Linked DNA regions of Notamacropus eugenii. The protein of the gene in region 3 binds, or shares a complex with, the protein of the main gene of each other region. Links are inferred from orthologs where the notes say so. Each region holds a gene or a part of one and is shown on either strand. Other genes may lie near its edges. The genes, in order: DAB2IP, DCP1A and MAP3K5.

Region 1 (10,591 bases), on a different chromosome or scaffold from region 3:
CTTAGCCTCCCACTCCTCCACTAAGTCTTCCCTGACTGTCCCTCTTCCTCCTGAGGACTCTCAAAGTCCTCACTAGATCCTCTTCAAACCATCTCACATTGTGTTTATTAGTTCTTGTCTTTGTGTGTATGTGTCCGGTCCCCCCAGGCAACCTGTGAACTCTTGGTGGTCTGAGAACAAGCCTGTATATCCTGCCTTCCTGTACACCATGAGTGCTCAGTAAATGTGAGGTGTGATGACTACAGTAGAAAATGGTGGGACTTAAGAATTCCTACTACCCTATCCATGAAAACTGGACCCCATTTACTCATTGGCTGGTGTTATCATTTTACCCTGTACGCTGATCTTACTTCTGATCCTGATACTTTGAGGTTCTTTCTCTCTCCTTTTCCCCACTCCTTTCTGTCCTAGTCTACCTAGTTTGAAAGACCAAGTTTTTCCTAGTTAAAGAGGCTGAAGATTGAAGTTTCAGCTCAGATCTAAGAGGAAACAGGAGGAAATGAGAAGGCTTAGAAACCCAATATTGATCAAAAGAAAAGCCACCATTTTCTGAATGGAAACTACAACCCTTTATTTCTCAAGATACATCTCAGCAAGGCTTTAACCAACTGATCTTACAGGGTAGGGAAAGAGTATCTCAGAAATTACTGGTCACTTTTCCTACCCCTCTGCCTCTAGGAAGAAGCTTCTAGCCAATCTTTTTATCCTCATTTTATAGAGGGAAAACTTGGGCCCAGAAAAAGAAAATGACTTGCCCAAGGTCACACATTAAGTTCCAGATTTAGAGCTCACTAAGATGACACTGAAATCAGTGACTCAGTCACTATATGAAAACATAGTGATAGCTACTACAGATCCGTACCCCTCTCCTCCTTGGTGCTCCTCTCTCTCCTGCCTACCAGGTTCACCTTGCCAGGCACATCTTTATAAGCAACTCCACCCGCTCCTCCCAGGAGCCTTGGCTTACCATCCCATCTTCACCAAAGACAGCTAAACTGGAAGGTGGGTGCCCTGGAGAGATGAGTGGACACAAAGGCAAGCATTGGAAGGGGGCATTAGCCAACAGGGAAGGAGGGAGTATGGCTTTTCAATCTATGATCAGTTGTCCTGAGATAGGCCAGTTATGCCCTTATAAGAATTCCTAGGCTTTCTTGTTTCTGATAGCAGCTAGCATTTCTAGGATGTTTTGATGCTTACAAAACACTTTCTTCACCAGTTTTACTATCCCCATTTTACAGATGAGGAAAGCAAGATTTTATAGAATTTAAGTAACTTTTGGATTGAGTGATTTTAGAGCTATAAATTTTAGACCTTAAAGAATATCTGGAAGGAAAGAATTCATGACCATACAAGACAGAGAGAGCATTAAGAGATATAAAATGGATGATTTTGATTATATTAAATTCAAAAGTTTTACACAAATAAAACCAATGCAACCAAGATCAAAAGAAAAACAGAAAACTGGGAAACAATTTTTACAGAAAGCATCTCTGACAAAGACCTCATTTCTCAAATATATAGAGAACTGTGTCAGATTTATAAGAAAACAAGTTGTTCCCCATTTGATAAATGGTCAAAGATTATGAACAGGCAGTTTTCATATAAAGAAATCAATGCTATTTACAGTCATATGAAGAAATGCTCTAAATCACTATTGATTAGAGAAAAGTAAAACAACTCTGACGTACTACCTCACACCTATCAGATTGACTAATATGACAGAAAAGGAAAACGATAAATGTTGGAGGGTATGTGGGAAAATTGAGACACTGATGGCACTGTTGGTGGAGTTGTGAACTGATCCAACCATTCTGAAGAGCATTTTGTAACCATGCCCAAAGAGCAATCAAACTCTGCATATCCTTTGATCCAGCAATATCACTACTAGTCTGTATCTCAAAGAGATTAAAATAGAAAAAGGCAAAAGGGCCTCAAAAAATCACAAGAGTTTGATATCCTTACTCAGAGGAGCCAGCAAAGCCTTCCCTTGAGAAAGAATAAGAGTGCATCTCTACAGTTTGATCTCAAGATCTCCCAAAAATATCTCTCTACCAGATTTGCCAGGGAGGCATCAGCCCTCCAACCTCCAAAATTCATGAATATGTAGAATGTTTGTGTAGAAAGGCACCTTGGAACACAGAATGTCAGGCTGTAACAATAGCTCCCATTTATATGTACTAAGGTATATAAAACACTTTAGTCACAACAAACTAGTAATGTGATGCAGGTGTGATCATTCCCATGGGACCCATAACTCCAAGAACTTGAAAGTCTTGATCAGGGTCACAAAGCTAGTAATATCAGAGCCGGGTCTCCTGACTCCACCCTGCTGCCTCTATAACATGGAACATTAGAACACAGAATATTAGGGCTGGAACAGATCTTAGAGATCATCTAAGGCAACCAGGAAGGAAAAGAAACTTGCCCAGGGTCGCCAAACTAACTATAGCCCAACCAAAACCAGACTCCAGTATCCTGATTCCCAGGCCAGCACCTTTCACTGTACCCATTGTTATTTCCAGAGGTAATACTAAAGCACAAACAATTTGAACCTTGTTCCCCCTTCTGGCACCTTCTCTCCACCCCCACTCCCCCCAAACACACACACACACACACACACACACACACACACACACTCACACACACCACACACACAAACACCCCCCCCCCCCCCCCCACACACACACACAGCCTTTCCTTTCTTCTAAGTTGGCCTCTCTGGGCCTTCCAGGTTATCTCCCTCCTCAATTAAGCCCCAGGAAAAGGAAGACCAACAACTCTTCCCCCTGCTGCCCCACCCCCCCAGATAAATGTCTGAATCACACATGTGCTGAAAATGAGGATCTTGTTACTGGAAAAAAAGAAAGCCTGGTTCCTCCTCCCTTTTCCCACTCCATCACCAGCTGTCCACTAGTGAGAAAAAAACTTGTATGTATAATGCCCAGGAAGAAAACTTTCCTAAACTCTCAATCTTAGCATCTCTGCCCCAGATTTGGGGGTCGGGGTTGTCAAACGGGGGTACCTTGCAGCCATTAATCTCCCTAAAGCCCCACCAGCCACCTCCACAAGGGCAGGAATGACTTCATGCCTCCCTTCTGCAAGGCCCTCCAGAAGTCAATCAAACACAGACAGACAGACAGACAGACAGACAGACACACACACACACACACACACACACATACACATACACACACAGAGTTAGGAGATGTTAGAGCTAGAAATGACCTCTGAGGCCATCCACTCCAACTTTTTCATCCCTCAGGTAAGAAACAGAAGTCAAATGATGTTGTCAAGGTGGACCAAAAAGTGAATGGCAAATCAGACTTCAGTTTCTAGGCCAACATTCTCTTTAGTTCACCATATTCATTACAGGTGAAATGTCACTAACCAGTATGCCTCTCTCCCTAAGGAAATCATCCAGGTTTTCCCTTGGTTACCCACTCCAGGGGACTGAGGAGTAAAGGGTAAAGGGGAAAAAAAAAAAGAAAAAGAGAAAATAGTAATCAAAACAGTGGGATCCCAGTAGCAGGATGTGGTGAGACGACTTACCCTAAACTAGCTGATCATCAACCACCTTGCCTTCTTTTGTGTTTCATACCACAGACCACTAAACTGAGGCCAAGAGAGGTTTTGAACAATTGACCTCAGAGGTCACAAGCAGCCAAGAATTACACATGTTGGTGTCCCCTCCAGCCAGCTCTCTCAACACCAGTCGTAGAATCAAGGAGTCCTAGAACTTTGGAGGTAGACAAAATCGTGCCCTATCCACTCATTTTTATAGATGAGTAAACTGAGGTTCAGAGTGGCTTTTAAGGGATTTTCCCAAGTTCATTCAATGAGTTGACTGCAGGTGCAACGTGGGCACGGAAGAAAAACACTGGATTTGAAGTCCAAGCTTCTAGTTTTAAAACCCAACACAGATATTGATTACAGTATGCCTTTGGACAAGTCCCTTCAACTCTTCTTTGTCCATAAAAGAAAGGTTTTTGAGTGAATAGAATCTAAGGCCTCTTCTATTTCTAATTTTATGATTTGAACCCAGGTCTCCTAACTCCCAGCCCAGCGTAATGTATTGTGCCCCCACCCCCATCCTCAAGAGACAGAGACCCATTGTGTTAGTTTTTGAAGCAGCTGCCAATCAGATTGTGGGGAGCAGAGGGGGTCATTACAGAAAGAATGAAGACTGAGCTCTCCCTAAAGAAGAAGCAAATGCTGGGGAGGGAAGGAGGTTTCAGGATAGGGATGGCAAAGAAGCCAAGCTCCAATTCTATTACCCCGGCTGGCTGGCCTGTTTCGACTCCTCGACCGGCTCCTCTGTCTCTGCAGACGGGATCGCCTCAGCAGCCGGTAGTAGTAGGATGGTCTCCCAGCACTTTTTCTGCCGCCGGCCGACATAATGCTCCCCCTCCTAGAGAGCCCCTAGCTGCCAGCCCTTCTTCACAGCTGCCCCCCCCCAGAGGGGTGGAGGGATCCAGTCCAGCTCTTCAGGGGCCAGGGGCCAGGGGATGAGGAGGACAGAACCCTGAGCCCTGGGCACACGTCCAAGTCAGGCATCGAGGACAATCTGAGAACCACAGAGAGGTCTTGCTCTATATCTCAGCCTCTCTGAGGTAGAGCTCCTGGACCCCCTGCTTGCTTAACTTAACTGCCCTGTTAAACTGTGGAAACAAATTCTTCCTCCAACGATAAGCCTGTTGGAGTTGGAAAGAGGAAGGCAGAGTTGGCATTGGCTCCCAGTTGAATGAGAAGGGGGTGACGACTGAGGAGGGGGGAGTAGGTAGCCTGAAAGTCAGTTTGGAAGAAATCCCGGACTGGATTATTGTGTTGGTTGAAACAATGAGTTTGGTCAAACGGGACTCCCCTTGGAGTGATGTCCACAAGGGGAGACGGAGAGGGATTCTATACCAGGGAGACGATTGTTATGGTATGGGAAGGTTACTGGAGAACAGTTATCATCCTTCCCTTTCTCATAATCCCTCCCCAAGAGAGGTCCCTTCCAACTCCCAAATCCCAGTATTCTAAGATTTATAAACATATGAACGGTACTCAGAAAAGAAGCACAATCTGTTAAAAGCAGCAGTGTATTTGGGGTCAGATGGCCTAAGTTTGAACACTTCTTTCTTACTAGCCATGTGACTTTGGTTAAGTCATTACCTCTGTGAGGTCTGTTTCTTCACCTGAAAAATAGAGGAAAGTAGGAACGGCTGATGTCTAAGGTCACGTTCAACTTTAGATCACCCAAGTCCAGAGTGGTCTTCCATTTGATAGCCTCCAGATCCAACCATTTAAAGCCTCTCTGACTGTCCAATAGTCTGTAGCATAATGCTTAGAAGAAGGCAGGATGGTGAGAGTGAACTGATTCTTCACCCAGGGTCAGTGAACTTAAATAAAAATTAATAACCATATTTCAATATAATTGTTTCCCTTAAAATCCTATATGTGTTTTATGCATTTAAAAATATTATTCTGAGATGGGATCCTTAGATTTTCCCAGATTGCCAAAGGGGCCCATGACACAGAATGACTATTTTAGAGGGAAACCAGACTGGAGTTTAACCATGATCACCAACCAAAGGCTGAGGATCAAATCTTGTGAAAGTTTGACACATACATACTTCCACACATACATACAAACACATAAAACTTCAGAGTAGGAAAAACACTAGGCTTGGAGTCAGAGATTTGAGTTCAAGTCTCTACTCCATTGCAACTCTAAATCCTGTGATGCATGCAGGCAGGCCTGAGGCCTTGAAGGTACAATGAAACAGGGAAAACTTTTGTTAGAACTTGAATGAACAAAGGGTCAGACAATACCAACCCCCACTCTCACCCCACAGGGACCTTTTTGCCCTGCCTGTTCAGAGTAAATAATGTGTGCACACCACACAGGCTAGGAAGTTGATCCAGAAATAAGGAAGCAAACATCCAAGGGAAAGAAGTAAAGAGAGGATGAGGGCCATAGACAGGCAAACCAGATGGGACTTGTTTTTCAGCTTGGGATTTAGAGTATTCTCAATCTGCCTTAACTGTCTTTCAGATTGATGGGTGGTCGACTAAGTGCCACTATACACACTTACATGAAATGATCTAAAAGGTAGAGTAGACCTTGGGACAGAGAATGTTGGAGGCATAAGGGATCCTAGAACAAAGAATGCTCAGCACTGTCAGGGATGGAATGGCCCTTGTGGAAGCCATGTATATTCACTGTACAGAGGAAGAAATGGAGGCTCAGAGAAGTGGTAAATTCCTCATATATCAAATAGAAATAACACTTGTACCAGAAGAATGGAAGGGGATATGCATTTATTAGGCACCTACTATGTGCTAAGCACTTTACAAATATCATTTCATTTGATCCCCCAACAACCCTATGAGATAGGTGCTCACTTGCCCAAGGTCACACAGGTAGTAAATATCTAAGTTTGAATTTGAACTTCGGTCTTCGAGTGTTCTATCCACTCTGCCACCTAGCTGCTTCTACCTATCACCTGTTTCTCAGGATAATTAGAGGAAAAGCATTTTGTAAACCTTAAAGCACTAAGAAATATAACTTTCTGTTATCACTGCTGTCCAAAGTTATACAGGTAGCCAATGACAAATCATTGACAGATCAGTCTGTCAATTATACTTAAGATACTCTAGTGCAGGAAGATTTAGGCTACAGCTCAATTCCCAGGTAGAATTGACACTAGAGAGGAAGTACAGAAAAAACAAAATCTTATTGGCCTTTTGGGAGAAGGAGGGGACAAGAAGCTAGACTCTGGATCTTCCAACAGCCCCACTGGCTCAGGAAAGGGTACTTGTTCAAGGAAAGGATGAGATATATAAAGAAGTAAATCGTTTGCACTCCAGTTAATCTGTAAAATTAGGACCCATGAGAAAATTATAAAGAGGTAGATTTCAGCTCAAAAAGACAAAGAACTTCTTAACAAAGAATGCTTTCCTGCCACAGAATGGGTTGCTTTAAAGGGTAATGAGCTAACCATCAGTATAAGTATTTAAGCACAAGCTAAGTGATCACCTGTCAGGCACAGGGGAGAGAAGACTAGTGCTTAAAGAGTTTAGACTACATCAGTGATGTCAAACTCAAATAGAAATGAGAGAAAGAGCAACTAAACCATACATGACAATCCCTGCAGGTTGCACATTGACTTAGAAAACCACATGCTAACATGATCTATATTTTATTGTACTTTTGTTTATTTTGTTATATATTTTCTAATTTTGTTAGACTTTTGTTATTTTGTCAAAAATTTTACATATTTTCTAATTACATTTTAATCTTTTTTGTTAAATTTTGTTTAAATATTCATCAACATTTAACTAATTAATTGAAATTAGCAAAATGTTGATTTTGTTTAAAATATTATACTTTGTTTAAAATGTTATATATTTTCTAATTACATTTTAATCTGGTTCTGGCACTGGGGACACCTCTGAGTTAGATGACCTTGGAGGTCTCTTCCAACTTCAAAACTTCTCGATGGCAGGATAGTATGGTTGTTGTATCATCAGCACTCCCACAGTGCTCATTTATAGGAGGTACTTGGCAAAAGCTTGATGGATTGTGTCTAAGATTCTGATGGTGATTCCCGTAGACAATGATAAAACAACATAGCAAAAGAAAAGAAATGGGGGGAGGAGTCTCTTTAAAAGAATCCAAAGTAGAACAAATTATCACCCCTTTCATGCCTATATAATTCACACTTTTCAAAAAAAAAAAAACCAAAAACCTACTACCTATCCTCAAGTTTCTGACATGATAGCTGCTTTAATTCCAATATTTATTCCCCAAGTTAATAAGTAGGATAAATGAAAATTGAACCCAGTTCTCTTAATTCAGTCTTGATCTTGTTTCCACTGGACTTTTCTGGTTATAGTGGAAAAAGTCCTGCTCTGTCACCTTCAGTAGCCAAGCAGCCTATTGTTCCTTTGCAAATTACTAAAAACAATCCATGCTTTTTATTCTACTCCCATGGTTGGTGTTGTCATCCCTTTATTCCTGGACTATTACAGTATTCTCTTGCTGCCCTCACAACGCCAGGATCTTCCCACTCCAATCCATCCTTGAGAAGATGGCAGGGTATTATTGTGAAAAGTAGGGTTTTCATATTATTCTTGAGTAAAAGGAGTGACAACAGGAGGAGTGCTATTTCTAGAGCACGTCAAGGTTTACAAAATATCTTATTCACCACAATTCGATGAAGTAAGCAATACGAGTATTATTGTTGCTGTTCTTTGATTTCAGTCCCATCCAACTCTTCATGATGCCTTTTGGGGTTTTCTTGGTAAAGATATTAGAGTGGTTTACCATTTCCTTCTACGGAGCATTTTACAGATGAGGAAACAGAGGCAAACAGGATGAAATGATTTGCCCAGTGTTACCTGGCTACTAAGAGTCTGAAGACAGATTTGAACACAGGAAGATGAGTCTTCCTGACTTCAGGTCCAGTACTCCATCCACTGAGCTGCCTAGCTGTCCATAAAGATTATTATCTCCATTTTAAAGATGAAGAAACTGAAGCTCAGAAAAAAGCACCCAACCTTGAGCATTTGAAAGTTGGTATTCTTTCCTCATTGTCTATCATGAATCTTTAATGACACTTCATTGTCTGACATATAAAGGTCAAATTCCTTAGCCCTCCACAACTTGGCCCTTTCCAACCTTGTTATCGTCCATTCTCTTTCACACACCATACATGCTGGCCAAACTATTCAACACATGTCTTGCTCTTTCTCATCATACCTATTTGCTACTCTCACTCCTTGGGTTTCTCTGCCTGTATCGTCTCATATTATACCCATCCTTTAAGAGCCAGCTCTAGTCACACACATCCTTTTCTCACTACCCCAAGGTCACAGTGAGTGCTCTTCCTTTGGTTTCCTATGTGTCTCATCTGTGCTGCTCATTGGGCATTCTATACTTGCTGGACAGGACTGGCTATCTGGGTTACAGGTAGAGCCATTCTCCCCCAATAGTCTCTGATCTCCTTCAGAGGAGGGAACCTCCTTTTGTATTTCTTTGCCTCCCAACCTGCCCAGTACAGAGGTAGGAATATTAGATTATGGAATTTAAAAATTGCGAGATAGAAAAGACTCCAGACATTTTCGATAGAAACTCTTCATTTTTATATACGAGAAAAGAGAGGGTCAAAGCTGAAGTGATTTACCCAAGATCCCACAGCTAATCAGTTACAGAGCTGGGATTCAAAACTAGGTGTCTTGATTACAAATCCAGTCCATTACACCAGCTGCCTTTTTTCTTTAAAAGTGCTTAGTTGTTGTTTACTGAATTGAAAGGAACTAAAATTTTTCTTACCATATAAGAACTTGTCTCCCAGTAACCTAGCAGGGGGGTTTCCTTGGGAGTTTACACTGGACCCTGACATTGAGAGCTCATGAGGTGGCCTTCAGTCCGGCCAAGCATGAGAACACTCCAGATCTCAGTCCATGGGCAATATTCCAGGCCAGGTTTTACAGTCCCTTCTCCTGCCTGTCAGTGAGAAGGGGGGCAGGACATGACAAGGTCAGGTCAGGCTGGGGAGATCACAGCTGGATGACAGGCGGCTTTCCCTATACTCTAACTCCTTCATACTCATCCCTTTCTCCACTTCCCAGGTAGAGAGGGCAGCATCCCTAAATCCTAGAATCCCTAGACAAAAAAACGATCACACATTTGGAATTGGAACAGAGCTAAGAGCTTGTAGTCGAACTCCCACATTTTATAGATGAGGAAACAGATCCTAATGGAGACCACTGAGACCCTAATGGGGAATCAGCTTGAAATGTGCCTGACATAGTCTACTTTGTTGGGCATCTTCCCTCCATGTCTTCTGAGGGGCAAGAGAGGCATGGAAAAGAGCTTTTGGCATCCTCTCTGCTCATCCACAGAGAAGTGCATAATTACCTACCCCTTTGGTCCTTGGGGTTTTACATTGTCCTCTCCTTGAAAACTCATCACTCCTTTCCTTCCAGGAGGGGTTCACAGGATAAAGGGTTGGAAAGTCCTTACACTTCATCTCATTCCACCCCTGTATTCAGCATATGAGGAAAGAGGCGTGAAGAGATTACATGACTTGCCCATAGCTTCTAAACCCACTAGCTTAGAAGTAGTCAGTCTAGGACTTGAAAGTCTTCTATTAGCACTGCAAGAAATTTTAGATCCCATCAAGCCCAACCCCCCCTCCCCCATGTCTCCACCCTCATTTTACAAGTGAGGAAACTGGGACCAGGAAAAGTAGAGTAACTTGCTCGTGATCATAGAGGTAATAAGTAGAAGAGATAGAATTCCAGCCTGGATCATTTGATACCATATTCAACAATCTTTCTACCATATCAATCTGCCTTTCTTTGAAGAAAAAGAGAACACTACACAAATGTGCCCTGTCTTCCCTGTTGTTTGGCCAAGGACTAGACCAGCCAGTTGCTCTGGATCTATCAGAAATGATCCGCATGCCCTCAAAACCCAATTATTCACATGTGATTTATCCACAGCCCATTCCAAACACCAGGTCCATCTCCTCCTCCTCTCCCAGACAGGAAGAATAGCCAGACTGAAGCAGGATATAAAGAAAGCAAGGAAAAGGGGCCC
Region 2 (10,470 bases), on a different chromosome or scaffold from region 3:
TGATATCAGGACTCTGAGGTTTATAATAAAGCATTTCTTCACATGAAGTAGAGGTGATGTGTTTGAAGTGATGAATTTTCCAGGACTGAGGAGGAAAGTGAGCCTGCAATGGGATCGCTCTAGACAGGAGTGCACAACTCCCCAAGGCCATGCCCTGGCTGGCTCTGTTGTGGCATACACACTATAGTTAAACAGTGACTTGAAGGCCAAGTGCACGTGAAGACCACTCAGGGACTGGGGACCTTTGTAACCTCATTAAGGCTTTCTGGGAAAACCAAACATTTCTGATCTGTCCAGAGTAAGCACCACCCATCCACACCATTCAGGGTAAACTAAGGCAGGTGATCTCCAACTTGGGAAAGAAGCCTGGATTTCCTCTGAGTAACTTAAACTACAACAGGACAAAACCAGGCAAATCTCATTTACATCACATATACTGACTCAATGTGTTTCAAAGAGGGCTTCTGAATGATACGAAGAAAAATAGAGTAAGCCTGCTATACGAGGGCTTTGTTCTCACTGAGCTGTATACTTGAGAACATACCAAAATACTGACTTCTTTTCTAGTTCTAATTTCACTGTGTCGGCCCGGTGGGCCCACACATTCTGGCTATTTAGTCTTGTTCCTTCAATGATACAGCATAGGACAGAATGAGGTAACAAATACAGGAGGAACCAAAGGGAGGAAAATCTTAATACCCTCCTGGAGCAAAGTCGTTACAGCCACCATGATTAAACTTTAAAAGGTAAACAAAAACTTGAGGTTTGGCATTTAAAAAATCTCACCTTCTGTATACAAATAAGGTCCCTTCTATGTCAGTTTTCTCCTGCAATGAAGATAATTAAAAAGACAGTTATATGGAATTCATTTTACTTATATAACCTACCTCTAAGTAACTGCTCATCATTCTACCAATGCAATATTAACATTGGAAAATCAATTTTGAAATGTCCTAGAGACCTCACTGGCTTTCCAAGGGATTTGTTTTCTTTTTAAAGGGTGAAAACTTGGATTGAAAGCTATTTTATTCATAATTAGATAATTCCTAATAAGATTATTCAAGCCAATCCCCTGGTTTGCTGTGGTCGCTGCTTTAGCGCACCACTCCAAGAGCATCTTCCCTTTTCAACATTTACCAGAGTTGGCAGGAAGAAGGGAATGTTGGCTTCTATACTGGGGGCAATTTCTTTTGTTTGGGGAGTTTTGCTCAAAACAAACAACTAGTGTCAAACACTTTATTTCTCCTTGTAATTTCTAGTTGTGATAAACATATTGAGACATATGCTTTTTAAAAAACAAAAACACTTACAGATTTTCAGTCAGCATGATGTGCTAAGAACATTGGCACTGTAAATCCAGTCTCAAGGACTTATCTGCCTGAGCCTCCCAGGGCCTCAGTTTCTTCAACTGTAAAACTGGGATAACAAGACCAAAGGGTGTAAAACAGAGGGAATCCCAGATTTCCTGATTTTACAGAGAAAGCAATGGGAGGCCCAAGCCTGAGGACAGACCATTGTAATTAGTTGTAATTAAAATGGAAATTTTACAACATTTTACTTTTAATAAGGTCAGTCCTTATTGAAAACCCACTATTCTTTACCATCTTTGCTTTCAAGAAAAAGAGCTTTTAGTTTGGACATAAGTACAATGTGAAAGTGGTAAAAAGTCCTTATGCATATTTTGTATGAAGAGAAGCCGTTGAATTTTGAGGTGACCTCCTTGATTTCTTACAGGTATACAACACATGTGAATGGAATTTTAATGATTTGTTTAGAGACTTAGCCTTTTTTCATTTTCCTTCTTTAAGCCAGAAGTCTTTAAAACTTTTAAGCTGAGACAAGAAAAACCCCATGAGATCAACTCTTTCAGAACAGCAGGAAGCATCTCCTTCAGTTTTCCCCAGTAGGAGCATGCTCCTTCTATCCCAGTGCTCCCCTTCCCCCATCACCCATGGCCTCCCTGAGACTCTCCATACTCTCCTACACAACCAGCTCGTCCTTTTGGGGTCTCTAACACCACTTGGCCTTCATCACCCTTCACTGGTACCAAGCTGCCCCTCTACCCTTTGGGAAGTGTTCTCATCATTCGATGTCTCCCAACATACAGTCAGGAAAACTCATCTTTCTGAGCTCAAATCTGGCTGTGTGACTTAACCTTGTTTGCCTCAGTTCCTCAACTGTAAAATAAGCTGGAAAGGAAATGACTGCCAAGAAAACCCCAAATGGGGTCAGAGAGAGTCAGACATGACTGAAACTAATGAACGAAACCAAGCCAGGGAGGACCAGTTCCCAAAAGCACCTGGAATCGTAAATACCCCAGCCAGGCTCTGCTGAAATAAAAGTGAGGATGGAACTAGCCAGCCTCAGAGAACCACAAGAACCTTCACTTGGTAACCAAGCTTTGACTCTTACTTATTCACATCAAGTTTAGAGATACTATAACTATGAAAGGAAGCAACATGGCTACATACTGCAATCCTGGCCACCACCAATGGGTCCCCAGTCCTTATAGCACAGAAGAGGAATACTGTATACCTTGAAGAAATAAAGGAGATACAACCAGGTGGAAGGAGGGTTTAAAAGCCATTTAGTAAAACAAAGTGTCCAGCTAAGATTCCTGCAACAGTGTTTTATCTTGGGATACATTATACAGGCTTCCAACACTTTGTTAGATCATTAGGAGGTCTGTAACATTACTGATACAATCAGCTGAGCAAAAAGTCACATAAGTTTGAAGGGCTGGTTTGAACCTTTAAAAACCACCCAGGAAGAACAGAAAACACATTTTAAAAATATTTTTATTATCTTTTAATTTTTTCACTTAAACTGATTTTCTCTTAAATCCTGGTAAAATAAAATGCCTAGGGATCAAACTGGGCAGATGGTTCCCCATTGGGTTCTCTGGAGCCTGGGCTCAGAACAAAGGAGTGGCCCTGGCCTTTAGGGAGAACATCAGGGGGAAACACTGGCTTGTTCATCTAAAATCCCCGCAGTGTTCAGAAATTATTCTGGGATGTGGCTCCATACTCCTTCATGCCCTACTCCCTTGCCCCCATGTCTTCTGGGCCACTTTGGGCCAAAAGGACCTTGGAAACTATGAGTCTTCCCAGACTGGATGCCCTTTGATGAGTCAGCATCCTTGTTTGTGAAGTCTAGGGCAGGCCCCGAGGACTTGAGCTCCGGATCAATCAGTCAACATTCATTAAAGCCTACTATGTGCCAGGCACTGTGTTACAGAGTGGGGATATAAAAAGAGGCAACAGTCCTGGCCTCAAGGAGCTTCCAACCTAATCAGCCTGAGTTTTATCGTTTACTAGGCGGGGAACCTCATGCTGACACTGAGAGGAAGCATTTTCCTTTCTTATAAAATGAGGAGAGAGCATTGGAGTGGGAGTCAAACCAGGGTTCGAATCCAGCCTCAGACCCTTCCTCCAAAAGCATGGGTGAGTCAGTCTGAGAAGCCTACAAAGACTTGGCCAACCTAAGTGTCAGAAGGGCAGGAAATCACAGATTCTTCACCAAATGACAAACAGGTGGGACCCTGGGGCTACATCCAGATCTGGAAGAGGCCTTAAAGGCCTTCCTTTATAGGGAAACTGAGGCCCGGGGGGTCAGATACCTGCCCAGGGAGGCACCCTAATAAGTGGGATGACATTCCTGGAGGGATGAAGTAGCCGCATGCCAACCTCACGACTCTGGGGTCCCCAAAGCTGGGGCAGATGTGAGCAGGGGGGTCACTAGCGGCTGTGCCGCAGGACAGGAGTATGTCCGCACGCTGCCAGCCAACAACTCAATCATTCAACAAACTCAACAAACCAAAGCCATTCAAAGAGCGTCCCTTAGGCAGCTCAGGAAGGAGACCCCCAAAGGGTCCTGGGCTTCGGACTTCAGACTTCGGCCGTGCCCCGTCGCCCATAACCGGCCCCCCAAACTCCCCCATACAGTGGGGGAGGGGCAGCCCCTCAAACTGCTCTATCTAGGCGTCCATCCCAACCCAGGGCAGCACTTCCTTACAGGAGATGAATGTAGAGGGATCTCCTCATTTTAGAGATGGGGAAACTGAGGCACAGGGAGAGGAAGGCGCTAGACCTGTGCTCCCATGCGGTGACTTGTCCTGGGTCACCGAAGTCGGCTTTGGTTAAGGCAGGATCTGAACCCAGGTCCTGTGGCCCTAGCCCCCCCATGGCGGGCCTGTATACAGTTGTTTGCTTCTCTTGATAGCTCCAGCGCCTGGCATACAGTGGGCGCTTCATACGCGCTTGTTCTTGGTGGCGCCTACTGTGTGCGCCGGGGGCTGTCTGCGCTGTCTTCTGACAGGGGAGGGCACGGAGGCCCGGGCAGGGGGCAGGACCTTCGCCCTAGGCCTGGGGCGGGCAGGGCCTGGCTCAGCGAGTCGCGGCCCAGCCCGGCGGCCGGCCCGGGCCTCAGTCTCCCCGGCCGCGGAATGGGCGCAGCGGCCGCGGCGGCGGGCCCGAGGGCGACACTCACCCACTGGTTGGCCTCGGGGCTGAAGGTGTAGAGCGCGACCTGGCCCGTGAGGTCGGCGATGCTGGTGATGTAGGGGTCGTGGCGCCGCAGCGCCGCCAGGCTCATCTCGGCCCCGGCTCGACTCCCCGCCTCCATCTTGGCCGCCCCCCCCAGTCAGCGGCCCGGCACCGGAAACTAGCGGGCGGGGCCTCCCATTCAAACCTCCGGGGCCGCGGCGCTGACGTCACGGATCACGCAGGCGCGTTGGCCGTCTCTGACGCCGCTGACGCCGACGCAGAGTGCGGGCAGCTCCCGACCCCTCCCAGGAGGAGGCCCAGCCTCTTCCTGTCCCGCCCTCCGGCGCCGGATCCTGCGTGACCAGCGCGCGCGGCGAGCACGAGCCGGTCGCCCGAGCATACGTCACCGGGGGCGCCCCTGGCGCATGTCCGTTGGGGCCCAAGTCTACCTGGGTGGGCGCCGCCTTGGGCGAGCGAGCTCCTCGGGGGCGGGGCTGGCTCCTTGCTGGGAACCTTGGGATGGAACCTGAGCTTCATGATAATGACGTAATCATGAGGAATGAGACCGTGGCCGCTGCGGCGCGGGAGGCTGAGCACGACGGCCGCGAGGGGGCGCCATGGCACGGGGAGCGCTGGCCCGCAGTCAGCAGGGCCTGAGTTCAAATCCATCCTCTGACGCTTCCTAGCCGGGTGGCCCCGGGCAAGGCCTTGCACCCTTTCTGCCTCAGTTTCCCCATCTGTCAAATGAGCTGGAGAAGAAAGCGACCAGCCCTGCGGGGAAACCCCCAGCGGGCGGAAGTCGTGCCCGGGGGGCGCCGCCCATAGGACGTGGTCATTGTCGTTCATTCGCAGCCCCTCAGCCCCTCCCCCAGCCGGGGTCCTCTGTGGGTCCCCCGTGGGTCCCCCGTGGGGCCCTCGGTGTCCTCCTCTCCCCCGGGAGGGGGCTGACCCCCGTGTTACTGCCCTGGGCCGGGCGGGGCAACGAGGAGGGTTCTACAGACGGGCAGTCCCGGCCATGCGTGACGTCATCCGTGCGGATAGTGGGTGGGGTCCCAGACCCCCCCACCTCCCCCACCCCTCACCCTCCTTGGCCCCAGGTCCGGGGTTCCAGTGTGGTTACTCCCCCTTTTTACAGAGGAGGAAACTGAGGCCGAACGTGCCTGACTCGCAGGCTGGCCTTCCTGGCCCGGCCCCCGCCAGGGCCGGTGGTAGCCCGGCTGGGGACAGGCCTGGACGAAACCGGAGCGGCTGCCCCTCATCCCCTCGGCTCGCTCCTCCGCAGGTGGGGGAGACAGCCCAGCGGGGGGCACTCCCAGTCCGACCCCTCGCCTTACAGAGGGAGAAGCAGAGGCCTCGGGAAACGCGTGACCTGGCCACGATGACGTGGCTGGCAAATCCTGGGGCCAGGATTCCACGTGGCCTTTGGGAGGCAGGGGGCAGGAGCATCTTGTGTTAGGAACAGCAGAGAGGCTGGGGGTGTGTGTGTGTCTGTGTCTGTGTGTCTGTGTGGTGAGGTGAAGCGGGGCAGGGGGCTAGGGATTGAATGCCTGAGGTTTTTCTGTTTGGTCCTGTAGGTAATAGGGAGCCACTGGGGTTTATTGAGTAGGGGGAAGAAAAAGAGGCCAAAAAGCAGGGACTGAGGACACTTGTCAACAGCTAGATCCTACTCTGGTCTTTGGAGCAAAGTGTTATATCCTGCTCTTTATTATTTGGAAGCTAAATGGATCTTACAGAGAAAAGGATTTCCTTGATATGCCTAGAAGCAGGACCAGTACAACTGCAGCCGGCCATGACTTGTCAGTTGAACTCACCAAGGTGACCCCCTGCCTTATAAGCGTTCCATAGAGTCGGAGAACTTCAAATGAGAAACATAATGATATTGAAGAACTGGGTGGTGATGGTCTCATCAGGCTGCTCTTTGATAAAGCCTTAGCTGGACTGGGTGAGTCCTTCAGGGCCCTTGTCTTACTGGCTAGGGAGGGAGGGGATAATCTTTTATGAAACACTTCCTGTGTGCCAGCCCAATATAGAAAGAATCTCAGCTGTTCAGGCCAAGTTTTCTGACCTCCTCCAATGCTCTTCCTGTTATATGACCCCTGAGAAAGTCTTACATACTTCTTGCCTCTCCAAACCAAGCCTTAAACCCTCTGGGCCCTAAGATATCCCTGGGAAAAGGTTCAAGGCCCTTATTCTCTGATCTGTGTTTGGGGCCACCTGCTTCTTTACACCAGAGTTGTAATCCAGATAAGGACTTGGGTGTTACAATGACAGTGTTGACCCTCTCTCTTCATGGAAATTCGTTCGGATCCTTAGCAGTGAACAAGCCTTTATTACATGCTTCACCTGTGGCTCCAAGAAGCTGTAGCATGTGCAGTGGCCACAGCACAGTAAAACCACCTTGGCAGGGTGAACCAGGTTGAGAGTGACGGAGGGGGCCTCAAACCCACTGATGAGTTAGGGCAGTGTCCACCCCAAGCATGTGAAGACTTCCCCTGCCAGAATGGGCAGATGAAAACAATTTGTTCCAGTGGCCATGAAGGTGGCTGAAGCAGGCACTGTGGAATGCTTAGAGGTTGTTCAGAAATGAAGATGCCAAGGTCACCCACTGCATCCTAGGCCATGCCAGTCATCCTGACTTTTGTCTTGTCATTGGACTTTGATGACTCAGGAAGAGAGTGAGGCTGACAACTTTGGGCAGCTCTGCCTCACTTAAATCCAATTCACCCATGAATCAAGACGCTACTCTGTAATGTCATTGGTCCTCTTGGAAAATGAAGGATGAACAAAAAGTTATGTTCTCAGCAGGCATTGTGCTAAGCACTAGGGATACAAAGAAAGGCCACAGCATGGTTTCTACCCTCAAAGAGCTCACAGTCTAATGATGGAAAGAAAATGCAAGTTACTGTGTACAAATCATAGTTATACAAAGAATAATTAGAAGGTAATCTTAGAAAGAAACTGCTAGCATTGTGTGTGGAGGGAGGAGGACTTGGAAACAATAATAGCTAATGGGGGGTGGGAGGGGAGGAAGGGAAAGAGAGAAAGAGAGAGAGAGAGCATGCAAGCTAAATAGTTATATCATTTTATCCTCACAATAACCCTGGAAAGCAGGTGCTATTATTATGATCCCTATTTTACAGATGAGGAAACTGAGATAAATATCTTGCCCAGGGTCACACAGCCAGTAAGGCTCTGAGGTCAGATTTGAACCCAGACTTGTTCTTCCTAACTGCAGGGCCAGCTCTCTACCCAAAGCACCATTAAGTTGCCTCCTACCAAAGGTGGCATTTGCAATTTTTCTGATGGATGAGTTGGGGCAGGTTAAAGGCTGGGACTGAGGCATTCCACCTCAACAAGGATCCAAGCAGGAACCACTTTCGCCTGTTCGGGGCTTGCTGTGTGTCAGGCACAGGTATTCAGAGCTAGAGATATCCACCTGACTGGCTTAGCTGCAGACAAACTGATCTTCTCTGGGGGGGTTGATCCCCCTAGGGTCATCCTGTTTTCAGGGTTTTGATCTACTTGCTTCCTCCTGAAAAACTAGAGTCTTAGGGGTTATTTTGTGATGCCATTAGGGAAAGTTCTCCAAGAAATACTCAACATGAATATTCAACAGAAGAATTAAACAATTATCACCTGCCAACTCGAAATGACTCTTCTTCCTACCCTACTCTTTCTTGGTAAAACTAAGTCAATCACTTTACATGCACCTGTGGGATACACGGGCCTCTTTCTCTTTGACTAAATTTAGTTTTTCTCCCACACAGTCTTCTGAAATAATTAAAGTGGTCTCTTTATTTTCTGCCTGGTTAAGCAACATCAGCAGATCTGGAAGAGTGAAGAACACAACTTATTAATAGCATTATTTACATTTTCAGTAGGAAATGGCTTCAAAGGAGAATGGGTGGAGATCTGCCCCTAGACCTGTCTAACAGCATTGAAAATTGTGAACATGAAGGTCCTTGTCCACACTGGGAATACTTGAGTAGCAAATACTGATCTTGATTCATGCTGAAACCTAAAGGTTCCCCCAAAACAAAATATGACCTTAGGAATCCAGGGACATTTGAAACTTAGAGTGTGACAAGTCAGAGGGAATTCATTGAACCAAGGAGAGGTTGAGTTGACTGGGGTGATAGAAATCATATTTTATCAGAAGCAGCAATCAAACCCAGGTCTTCCTGACTCCAAGTCCAACATTTTGTCTACTACAATGGAGAAGCTACCTCTTTTCCAATCCCATGGTGCAATGCTGCAGTGCCACCTCTCCCACTTATATAGAATTTTAATGTCCTTTATGTGCATTATCTTATCCTGATGCATTGTTAGGAAACCATATTTTCTTCCTTAATTATCTATGTGACCTTGGCCTACTCACTGGAATTTGCAAACCTCAGTTTTTTCATCTGTAAAATGAAAGGGCTGGACTAAATTCCTTGGGTTCCTTTAAGCACTATTCTATGAAATCTCCTTAGGATTCTTCTAATCTCCAGATATCCCTTATGTGTGAATATCTTAGGTATGTGTCTTTATACCTAGGATAGTGCTATATGTACAAATGTTGAAATAATTATAGGAAATTATCTAAAATATGTAGAGAAACTAAAGTTTTATACTACCAGAAATTTAGGCATCTAAAAGACTTAATCCTACCCTGGTGCCACTCTGCCTGGAATTCCTGTCAGCCTGCCTTTATCAGAAAGTCATTCTAGCCACCAGACACTAGCAGACTGAAACTCAGATAGCTTGGTTGATCCTGAAGAGAGGAGCCCAGAAGCTAGTAGGTGGGTAATAGGCATTTATTAAGTAGCAGGGAGCAATGCCCATACTAAGCAACCACCACAACACGAAAGGGGACCGCAGGCAAGGTGTTCATCAGAGGTGTCACACAGATAGGGAGCAAGTTCCATGAAAGCAGGTTGATGATATCACCAGAAGATATTGGCAGGGTATGTCTTAATACGTCTTAATGCTCTGGCCACATGTATTCCTCATATATGTCCCTTTCATACCCCATGCCCATTCTCTCTGCAGATGGTATGTGTACTTTTGGAAGTATGCCCTATGTTCATGGGGAGTGATCTTGTGTTATGAATTTTCTGATTTATTTGATGAAATGCCTTTATTTTTGAACTAATTGTGCCTCCTGGCTGACTAGAGAAAAAGTAAGCACATTGATGGGGGCTCATGAGTTATGGCTGTGATTGGGTGTGGAACCACAGTACTTTGATCTTAGGAATAGTTATTCTGGGGACCCTATGGGTTGAAAGAAGGTCGGTACAGCATGTTTATGGGGACAGACAATTCACTTCAATTTGGCACATCCCTGTCTATGAGCAATGTTTGGCATCCTTTCAGCACTGTAACTTTCATATTTGGTTACTTAATCTTCGTTTTGAAAGTTTTTCAGTAAGGTTCTCTGAAGAGCATTCTGTGTTCTCCAAAAATGGAATTTTTTCTTCCACAAGTAGAATGACAAACTCAGCCTTTTACCCTAATACTTGCCTCTCCTCCCATCTTCCCTGTTTTTGTTTATGGCAGCAATTTAAGATCAGAGAATCATGTTTCAAGCTGGAAAGCAGTTTTTATTCTAAGCCCATCACTTTCTAGGTATGGAAACTGATGCCAGAGAGATTAAAAACTTTCTCAGTGTCACACAGTGACAGAGCAGGAACTTGAACCCAGGGCCTCAGCCTCCAAATTCTGTTTCCAGGACACCACATGATGTTTACTGGGAGATTTGTTCTTGCAATTTCCATACCATCCAGTGGGGTGATGAGTCATAACTCCAATTGTGTCTCCCTGGCGTCCTGCTGTTCTAGCTGCTACTACTTTCTTCAGTTAGGGCCCTTGTAGCCTCTCACTGATCTTGTTGTAAGAGCCCCCTATTGTGATTGCTGCTCCATATCTAACTCATCCTTTATTTGCAGACTGACTCCTAAAAAGCTGTCAATCACTTTCTGTTGCCTAGAGAATAGAATGCCTG
Region 3 (10,473 bases):
TGAATCCTTGAGACTCACTGCAGAAAAGAATAGGAAGAGGGTGCCAGTGCAGGGCAAAAAATATACCAAGGAGCTTATATTGGGTGGTTCTTCAAGAGTATCCTGGGAGGAGGCAACAGGGAGAAAAAAAGGAAACTTCTGTCAGTTTGCAACCACTCCAACCTCCCTACCATTATTCCCCTCCCATCCTAGCTCCCATTCCCCATGAGTCAGTCCTCGCCCAGTCCAAGGCAGTCATGACCTGTGGCATAGAGCTAGGGAAACACCTGCTTAGAGCTAGGGTAGGGGGAGGGGCGGGGCAAGGGATAATATGTTACTAAGTTAGACCAATTTTCCATAGAAACATTTTTGGATTCTATATTTCAAATACATACATATAGTCTTGCTTAGAAATGGGTTTGCCATTTATAACATTCTTTCAATGGCAAATGAAATCAAAATTCTAAAAAAAAATTCTAGAAACAAAATATAAACACTTCTAATGGACACTTCTAATGGCAAGATGGTCTCGTCTAAACATTTTGTTTCCTCAGGGCATAACATAGTACTCTATACACAGAAGGCTAGGCACTAGCTAAATCTCTGTTGAATAATTTAGGATGCAACCCATTTGTAAATTAGACATCATGAATAAGGAGAAAGTATGACATTTCTTACTATTCACTGAATTCTACTGAATAAAATGTTTGTTACCATGGCACTTCCTGTCTCTGTAGCGATGTTTTCTTAAGCATGTAAATTTGGAAAATTTCCATGAAACCAATAATATAGCAGGAGTTTCAACACAAAAGCTAAGAAAGGAAATAATGATGAAAGAACTTTAAATGCTGGCAGGGAAGATGTTGGGAAAGAATACAGATGACACTGTAAGATGATACTTGTTCCCAAAAAAAGTGAAAGTTGTACCTCTTAAAATTACCGCACAAGTTTGAGAATAGTTAAAAAAAAAGCCCCTTCCAAAGTCTGATCTAAAAATTAGGATAATTAAATAATATTCATAGGGGGAAAACCAACAATCTTTTTAAAAATCAGACCCTATATTCAAAGAATATATTTGTATAAGCAAGTAAAAGGAAACCCATCAATTTTTTCTCCAATTTTCCAAAACATGAAGTTCCCAATACATTTGTTCAAATACAGCCATTCTTTAAGAGTAATACAATGCATATTTGCACTTTCATAAACTACTTCAAAGTTATAATTAGCATTATATTAATAATCACTGCAGTTTAATTCATAGCCATTATATCGCCTTTGCTGGACCTGTTTAACTCTGCAGATTCAACTTTCAAATTCAAGACAGATGATTTTTTTTTTTAAAGCATCAGAGGGGATTATTTATTGTTTTCAATTCTACCATTTACCACCTGTGCAACACTGGGTAAAACACTTTAGCCTCTCTGAGCCTCAGTTTCCTCATCTGTCAAATGAGGAGACAACTAAGCAAAGGTCCCCTTCTAGCTTTAACTTAGCCATTTATAATACATTCCTAAAATCCCAAGTTGAAACTATGAGAACAATTTCCCAGAGAAACACTGTTAGATTCCACATGGGAATAATAGGTCTACAACGCTAATGGGTGCAGTTTCTTTGTGTTTGGCAACTATAACCATCAATCAGTATTTGGTAGAATATAAGCAGTAAAAATAATCTTATTAAGACCGTGTTTCCAATTAACTTAGGAGTTAAGCTTCCAGAGAGTATAAAGTAGGAACTTTTTAAAAATCCACCTAATACTGCAATAAGACTAAATATAGCAAAGAAAGTCTTTCCTTGATTTGCACTATTTTTGGTTACTTCTTTACTATTTTCCAAATTTTGTGCTCCAAATAAAAGTTACTTTTTTTTTAAGGTTTACATAATTCAGATAGCTAGCAATAATGCATGACATGTATGTTCAGTTATGCAGGCCAGCACTCTAGCAAATACCAGAACCAGAAAGACCTACTTTTATTTAGTCTGTCTTTCCTAACATGAAGTTCTTTTCCTTATTTTTGAACTACTGAGACATCAGCCATGGCTGAATTCCAACACTGACATAACCACCCTTCAGGTGTTTTGAAGAGCCTGAATGGAAAGACAGGCCTGAAAACAAGTCCAGAATCTAAAGCCTTTTATGTAAGCACATACACTCGATGCTTACTGCACTGAAATTGCTTCAATCAGATTTTAACCCAGTTACATTAATGCAAACATATGGTTTGACATGCTCAACAGTGTACTGATGTTCAAAGGGCCACAGGAGGTTAATTTCATACGTACATTCCTGAAAATATTCTGAATGTTTCAGCTTATCTGTCAAGAGAGGGCAAACTGCTTCAGTTGCTAAACAAATTCCCCACCTCTCAAACTACTGTAGCAGGTGTTAGAACAGTACAATAAAATTATTTTTGGAAGGGATTATGGGAGCAACTGCTTTAATTACCTATAGTTCAACTTGATCTCATGTGGGCTCTCAAGAAAGTCATTAACGTTTTAAACAATGTGTAAATTGATAAATGTCCCAGGATACAGCACACACAGTTTGGCAAAACACTGGGTTCTTTCCCTCCAACAATGTAACAAAGACAATAGAGAACTTGAGTGTTTGTTACAATGTCATTACTGCCCTAGAGAACAAACTTAGAAAATGCAAGTAAGTGGGGTGTCTGAATTATAGTCATCAAAACTTAAGGTAAAATAAGACTGGGAGGAAAAATCAGTCTTAAGACAAAGTGCATGTAGCCAGGTTGGTACTGTCTCTGAAGCCTGTTCTCTATCTCATACTCTAAACCTAAATGAGACACCTAAAAATCTAGTGAAGAAAAAGGGAGGTGAGAGGAGGGACCGTCAACTGAAAGTACCAAACACGCACCCTTAGAAATGGTGAGATCAACACCAAAGATGGGGACAGAGGTGAGTGGAAAAGACTAAATATGAATCCCAGGGAGAAGAAAGATTGGTATAGGGCTTAAGCTCAGCACAACTTCAGGATCCTAGAGTTCCTGGGAGGAGAGGAAAAGAGGACTCCCTCTTTCACATTCCCAGGGAAAGGAGAAACGTTCCTTCTCAAGTGCTGCCACACTCAATATGTTAACACCCTACTAGGCACTCTCTCGGTACAGGGATACAGACCAGAAGAGGGGAGCTGCTCAAGCAAAGAAAAAAATAAAGTGGGGGAAGGGAGAGGAGGAAAGAGCACCCATAGAAGGAGGAAGAAGAGCCGCAGGAAGGCTCCCATCTCGCCCACCTGCATTGTAGAAGCGATCCAACACCGCGGTTTCCCCGAAGTCCAGTTTGCCAAAATGCAGGGTCTCCAGTGCAGCGCCCACCGCCTCGCACGCCTCCCGCAGACACTGCAGGGCCTCGCTCTCCGCCACCACCAGCTGCCCCTGGCTCGCTTCGTTAATCACATATGCCACGGTGGTTCTACGGTTGCCGCCGCCAGCGCCAGTCGAGTTGCCCCGACTTCGGGGGGCGCTCGGGGGCCCACTCGCCACCGCAGCGATCGAGATCCCCCCTGGACAGGCGGCCGAGGTGCCGCTGCTCTCCACATTCCAGAAGCTGCCGGGTGGCGGTGGCGGTGGTGGGAGCTGACTCCCCTCTCCTGAAGCAGCAGCTGCAGGCGCTGCTGCTCCTCCTCTTCGGCCGCTGCCGCCCTCCTGGAAGGTGCAGAAGCCCGGGGGGCTGAACGGGGGCACGGGGAAAGTGATGCCCTCGCTATCCTCCGCGATCATCTCTTCCAGGGGCTCTCCGGCGGCCGCGGTGGGGTCCACCCCCCAGCCGCCCCGTCTCGCCAGCCACAGCTCGGGGCTGCTCCGCGCCCGCCGGGCTAGGCAGCTGCCATCTCGAGCTGAGCCCTCACCGCCGCCACCGCCGCCGCCTCCACCGCGGCGCCGCCTCTTCTCCGGCGCTCTGTCTCCCGGAGGGACGCCGCTACCCGGCGGCGCTTCTCCCCTCCTGGGCGCCTCCGTGGCGGTGTTTCTAGCTCGATGCAAGGCTCGGAATAGAAGGGGTAGGAATAAGCTGTTGGACGAGAAGGAAAAAAAGCGCTTCCTCCCTGTCTAGGGCTGGCCGGGCTCTTAGCAGACCTGTGCCACGGGGCTGCCAAGAGGCTCTAAGCTCCGGAGACTCCGTGCGCCACTGACACCATAACGCAACGCCAGCTGCTCTCGCGGCGTGCGCTCTCCTCTCCGCGGCGCGCTCTCTGGGGACCACGGGGGTTTCCTCTCCCTTCGGGAGAGTCACCTGGCTGGCACCTTACCGAAGGGGATTGCCGAGCGTTGTACACGCACACCAGAAGCCGCAGCCGAGAGGATCCGCCTCCCCAGTCAACTGCAGCTTCCTTCTCCTCCCCTTCCCTCTTTTCTCTTCCGATCGTGGCGGCCGCCTCGTCTAAGCGCCGGCCCGCGGGGCTGGAGGCGTGCGATTTCTTCCAGCCGCTTGTCCCCTCTGCTAACTGCCTTCTTCCCGCCCCTTTGCTGGAGCCCGGAGAGTCTGGGGCCAACCCCCGGGGGCGGGCGCTGCTGGGAAGCCCTAAACCGAGGTGAAAGCGACGGTGCTACCGGTCATCAACGCTCCCTAGGTCAGTCTACAGGACTGGTGCTCAGCTAGAGGTTGTCTGTTGCCTCTGGTTTTCACCATTCAGCTACCTACCTCAGAAGAGGCTTTTTACGCGAGCCCTCAGTTACTTCAAACTGCGGGGGGCTCGTACAAAAAGTCTCTCTTGCCATTGCTAAAGTCGTTTTTTGCTGCGGTTGGTGTCTGATGAGACGGTCCCCGCGGCCATGGCGCCCTCCTCTGGTTTCTGTTTAGCTCTGCTCTCCTGTTTAAGCTGTGACTGCCTGGCCTGAGAACTCGTGGCTTGCGCAACCATGGCCCTGATTTCAAAGGGAGCTGAGCTCCGAGGCGGCGGAAAGCCTTGTCTGGCCCCGAGGTTTGTGCGTAACACATCTGAGCTTGGACTCCGGGACTAGCTTGTGAAAGATCTGAGGTGGTCCTGGGGTCTTTCCTACTCATTTTTGAAATACCGATGCGAGGATGGGGGGGGGGGGGGGGAGGGAATAAACATTTATTAAGAGCCTACTATGTGTCCGACACTGTTACAAGTGCTTTACAAATGATCCTCACAACAGCCCTGCAAAATAAATGCTATTATTATCCCCATCTTACAGTTGAGGAAACTGAGGCATTTGGCCAGGTTTGAACAACTAGTAAGTCGTTAAATCTGGATTTGAACTCAGTTCTTTCTGACTTCAGGCTCAGAGCTCTAGCTGCCTCTAGGTGGATCCCTTCCCCTTCTCAGAATGTTTTTTAGATAAATAAAATAAAAAGCATACAAGGAAATCAATTACATTAAAATTATTAATGCGTGTGTGTGTGATTTAAGACTTTTGGTTAAAACCTCTTGGATTAGATGAATTCTAAAGTCCTTTCCAGCTCATACATTCAATTGTTGTGCTGCCTCTCCTCTAATTTTTACATAAAGGCTAGGTACCCCTTGGTCTGAAGATCCCCAGTTCCCCAAGGAATCCTAAGATATGGAATAACGTCTTCATTCAAGTTAAGACTTAACATGTGCCTGTTGACACTCTAGCTCTAAAGAGGGGAGGGAATACCTATTATGCTGTAAATTATCCAGGAGTTTGACCTAGTAGCACAGCTAATCCCCACATAGAACATATAGAATGTATCCATTGACCATGGGAAAGGCATTGGAGGGTCACTTAACCTTGTTCCTCACCCATGGTCCAGTTTGTCACAGAATCTGAAGTCAGAGGTTCTGGGTTCAAATACCATCTCTGCTTCTATCTTTGTGACCTTGATTAAGTTGCTTCTCTCTCAATTTCATTAGTAAAATTGGGGAAGTTTATACTAATTGATAAGTTCCTTTGCTAAATCTAGGCAGTGAAGGGTAGGGGTCTGTCTTTCTAAAGCAACAGCTCACAAGCCTCCACCTTTGTAATTTCTCCTATAACTATCGGTTTGTTCTGTTGTTTTTCAGTTGTATCTGACTCTTCAGTGACCCCATTTGGGGTTTTCTTAGTAAAGATACTGGGGTGGTTCACCATTTCCTTCTCCAGCTCATTTGAAAAATCAGGAAACTGAGGCACACAAAAGTGACTTGCCCAGGATCACATAGCTAGTAAGTATCTGAGGCCAGTCATTCTGACTCTAGGAACAGCTCTGTATCCATTGAGCCACCCATTTTAGACTTTTAGAAGGGAGTACTGGGCAGCTAAGTGTTTCAGTGTGCCAGGTCTGGAATAAAGAGAGAGAGAGAGATGACTCAGAGTTACTGGGGAAAGTCCTCATTTCCCCCATCACTTCTCCAGGAGTGCTCATGAAGTTTCCATCCCATTAGGCATGGAGTGATAACAGCTTTCTCCTGGACTCCTGGTAGTCTTTGCATAAGACAATCCAGTTAAGTGACTTGCCCAGGTTTGAGCAGCTAATAAGTGTCAGGTGTCTGAGGCAAGATTTGAACTTAGGTCCTCCTGACTCTAGGGCTAACGCTTTATTCACTGTACCACCTAACTGCTCTGCCTCTTTATAGTCTAGAAACATCATTTCTTCCCTACATCTAATTTGTGGCTTCTGATGTAGACTGTAGCTAGCTGTAGCAAGGACTCTGCGAGGATGCTCATGGGAAGTTCCAAATCCTCTGGATCCTTCTAAGCCCCCAAGATTCTCCTTCAACCAGAAAAGGTGGGAGGGAAGAGTCTGAGACTAAACCTAAAGAGCTTCCCAGGGTTGTGGTTAGCTGAACTTTAACCATTAAGCAGACAGATGTCCCAGTGCTTGAGTTCCAAATCTGGTTTATTCTATAGAAAACCCACAGGGCATAACCAAGTCTCTTCAATCAATCTAAATATACTTCCTTTTCATACATTCCATTTCATACAATGAATTTCAAGCACTTCTAAGTTGATCGAGGACTTTTCATACCTATTCTAAAGCCTTTCATTGATTGTTTGATCCACAAAAAATGACAAGGTCTTCCTTGTCCACACCTAGTTCAGACCTCTGATTTATTGGTTCAATAAAAGTTTTATTACATGACACAGGTATGGGAGGGGGCATAACACCTTGTCTGTAACTTAAAATGGAGTGGGATGACTGGTCTGGTTCCATGCTTATGTAGTTTACTGACTCTAAGTTGGGCCTGGGGTTCTAGAGGCCCCAAGGGGTCCCTCTACTCTTTGTTCAGTTGGGTACCAAGTGATAGAACAGCACTGGCCCTGGATGAGAGGGGGGTTTTGATCCCTTTTTTACTAAAGAGCTATGAACCTTCTACTATGAACCTTCAGTCATAATTCCTAAAATCTGATAGCCTCGTGCCACAATAAAGGAAGTATTCTAAACCGGCTTAAAGGTAAAATGAAAAAATTATGGACAAGTATAACCTAGTATAGTATTCTCTGAGCAAACTACTAGTCTATAATATTTTAGGGATGTAAAAATCTACATATCTTCCAGCCTCACTACACATAATGGGTAATGTACTACAATAAATATTGGTAAATAAGCATTCAAACAAGCAACTTAAAAACTGACTACAGTACAACTGTAGTTTAAAATAGAAGAAGGAAAAAAATCCAGAAGAGAGGGAGGAAGGAAAAAAGGGAGGAAGAAAAGGGGGGAAGGAATGAAAGAAAAGAAAAAAAGGGAGGGAGGAAGGAAAAAAGAGGATGGAAGGGGACAAAGATGGGAAAGAGGGAGGGATTGAGGAAGAAGAGGAGTGAGGAAGGAAGGAAAAAGGGTGGAAGGAAGGGAGAAAGGAAGGAAAGAAAAGAAAAAGAAAGGAGAAAGGAAAGACATAAGAAAGAAAAAAAGGAAGAAGAAAGGATTTATTAAATACTCACTATGTTAAAAGCACTGTGCTAAACAATTTACAAATGTTATCTCATGGTATTATGATCGTCCTTTTACACTTGAGAAAACTAAAGCAGACAGAAATTCAACTAGTAAATGAGGCTGGATTCAAGTGCAGGTCTTTCTGATTCCCTGGCCAGCACTAGATCCACAGTCCCCTCTAGCTACCTCTAGTAGTTGCCGCTAGAAATCAGGGAACCACTACTGAGAGTCCAAGGCAGGATAGGAACTCTGGCCTTTCTGATTCCAGGTCCAACATTTTATCTATGTCATGCTGCTTTTCTAGGTGTTCACTTGACTGTATCATCATTTCAACCAAAGCCATAAAATTCCTAGGCATATGATGTCTCCATTAAATAGCCTTTTGAGGCTCTTTCCAAACTTCTTTTGAAGATTTTCATCGGAAACATCTCCTCCTAAATAAAAATGGTTATTATATGTGGTGTCATTCAGGTACTCTATCACTGACCATCTTTTTTGGAGACATGCATATGTGTATGCATACAATGTACATATACACATATGTGTGTACATATACATCTCTTTGATAATTCAGGACATCCTGAATATATAGTTTATATACATATATGCATATGTGTATAAACACACACATACACACACACACTCATACACATACCCCTGAGTGACTTTGCTTTATACCGTGAAGTTACCTATGAAGGTAAAGATGGGGGCAATCCACTCTGTTAGAGAAACAATCCAATGCACAGAAGCCATCGACATATGATATGACACGAACAAGGGTTCCCTTAGTCAAGTCTTCTGACACATATTCATAGCTGAGTCCTTATATACCAGCTTTCACTAACCTAAGAAAGAGAGTGCATTCACACACACACTCCACCTTTGGAATGTGATTCAGAATGCAAGAGTGGGCTCAGGAAGCAGGAATGTTGCTGTGGCTAGAACACTGTGGTAACATGCAAGGGGAGCTCTTGCTGCACCATAAACCAAGCATTCACCTCCTACAGTTCTCATAGTGTCTCACCCCAGTCCTGGATAAGCTCAGGATGTGAGGGAGTGGGCCAGGTGTGATCCATGATGTGCTAGTGTTACTGTGGAGGCCTCACAAACACTGACACAGGCACACACAAGGGAACAGAGAAGGGCACAGAAGGCATTGAGTTTTTTGTCTTTCTTTGTATCCCCAGGGCTTAGCACAGTGCCTGGCACGTCTAAAGCACTTAATAAATACTGGCTTCCTGAGGGTCTGAGATAGTGTTAAAAGGGGGAATCATAAGTAAGAGAAAGGTAAGAGAAATATTCTAAAGGAAGAATGGACAGAATTTACCAACTGATTAAAATTTGGAAGATGAATAAGAAGGAAGAATCAAGATGACTCCATGAATCTGAGGCATAGGCAACTTAGCAGATAGTGACATCAGTGGAAGAGAAATCAAAAGGAAGTTGTGGTCTGTGAGGGGAGAAGGACAGGGACAGTTATGACTATAGTGTTAGAACTAATAAGTCGGAGGTACCCAGGGATATCCAAGTATGAAGGTAAAGCAGGAAACTGGAAATGCCAGCCTAGAACTCTGGGGAGAGGTCAAGACTGGAAATAGAGACTTGAGGGTCATCTGTATATGAGGTATCATTGGTATAGGGAAGCTCAGATGAGGAAACACCCTCTACCAGAGGGCAGACTGACACTTTCTTGGCAACTCATATAGTCTTAGAAAGGTACCTAGACTTCCTAGAGCACTGAGAGATTAAGTGACTGGCCCTAAGTCTCATAGTCAGTATGAAGGGATTTGAATCCAGTCTTTCTATTTTCAAAGCCAGCTCTCTGTCCACAGAACAATATATATATATACATGATATAGCTATTTTTTAAAATGATAAACAATGACCACAAAGCATACAAAACAGTGAATGCTGTCTTACATAAAACCCTTAGCATTTAACATAGTTTTTGTTGGTTTTTTGGCAAAGATACCGAGTGGTTTACCATTTTCTTCTCCAGAAGGAAACTGAGGCAAACAGGAGTAAATGCCTTGCCCAGGGTCACACAGCTAGTCAGTGTCTGAGATCAGATTTGAACTCAGGAAGGTGAGTCTTCCTGACTGCAGGCCTAGCACTCTATCCACTACATCACTTAGTTGCGCCTTTAACAAAGCAGAACTAAATAAATTAAGAAATAAGCAAAAGATTTTTCCTAAGTCCTCTTCCAGGTCCATCTGAAGTTCACTATCTTTAGATTCATTATACATACAATATATATACACATGTATGTAAACGGTTCTGGTTGTACGGAAATTAGTTTGTATTCACTTTATATAGGTATTACTATATTCTCTTATATTTTTTCATATTTTTTATGGCACTTTTCATTCTGTTGTTGTTCAGTCATTCACTTGTGTGATACTCTACAAGACCCATGGACCCTGTTCATGGAGTTTTCTTGGCAAAGATACTGGAATGGTTTGCCATTTCTTTCTCCAGTATGTCCCCATTTTACAGATGAGAAACTGAGGTAAATAGAAGTTAAGGGTTGTCCAAGGTCACACAGATAGTAAATATCTGAGACTGAATTTGTACTAAGATTTTCCTGACTCCAGACCCACTGCTCTATTCACTGTGCTACCTAACTGCCCCCTATCA

The links.
Region 1: MAP3K5 (region 3) and DAB2IP share a complex: the UniProt entries of both Homo sapiens proteins name them as parts of the cytoplasmic complex. The link is inferred for Notamacropus eugenii from reciprocal best matches to the Homo sapiens genes MAP3K5 and DAB2IP.
Region 2: MAP3K5 (region 3) and DCP1A share a complex: the UniProt entries of both Homo sapiens proteins name them as parts of the cytoplasmic complex. The link is inferred for Notamacropus eugenii from reciprocal best matches to the Homo sapiens genes MAP3K5 and DCP1A.

The regions. Positions count from the first base shown.
Region 1 is NC_092872.1:442,773,201-442,783,791, reverse strand, and holds the start of DAB2IP (disabled homolog 2-interacting protein), read right to left. Parts: upstream 4,935-10,591; 5' UTR 4,396-4,934; coding exon 4,275-4,395; intron 1-4,274. UniProt on the Homo sapiens protein: Functions as a scaffold protein implicated in the regulation of a large spectrum of both general and specialized signaling pathways.
Region 2 is NC_092874.1:478,410,730-478,421,199, reverse strand, and holds the start of DCP1A (mRNA-decapping enzyme 1A), read right to left. Parts: upstream 4,679-10,470; 5' UTR 4,624-4,678; coding exon 4,489-4,623; intron 828-4,488; coding exon 787-827; intron 1-786. UniProt on the Homo sapiens protein: Necessary for the degradation of mRNAs, both in normal mRNA turnover and in nonsense-mediated mRNA decay. Removes the 7-methyl guanine cap structure from mRNA molecules, yielding a 5'-phosphorylated mRNA fragment and 7m-GDP.
Region 3 is NC_092873.1:223,164,751-223,175,223, forward strand, and holds the start of MAP3K5 (mitogen-activated protein kinase kinase kinase 5), read right to left. Parts: upstream 4,042-10,473; 5' UTR 3,717-4,041; coding exon 3,230-3,716; intron 1-3,229. UniProt on the Homo sapiens protein: Serine/threonine kinase which acts as an essential component of the MAP kinase signal transduction pathway. Plays an important role in the cascades of cellular responses evoked by changes in the environment.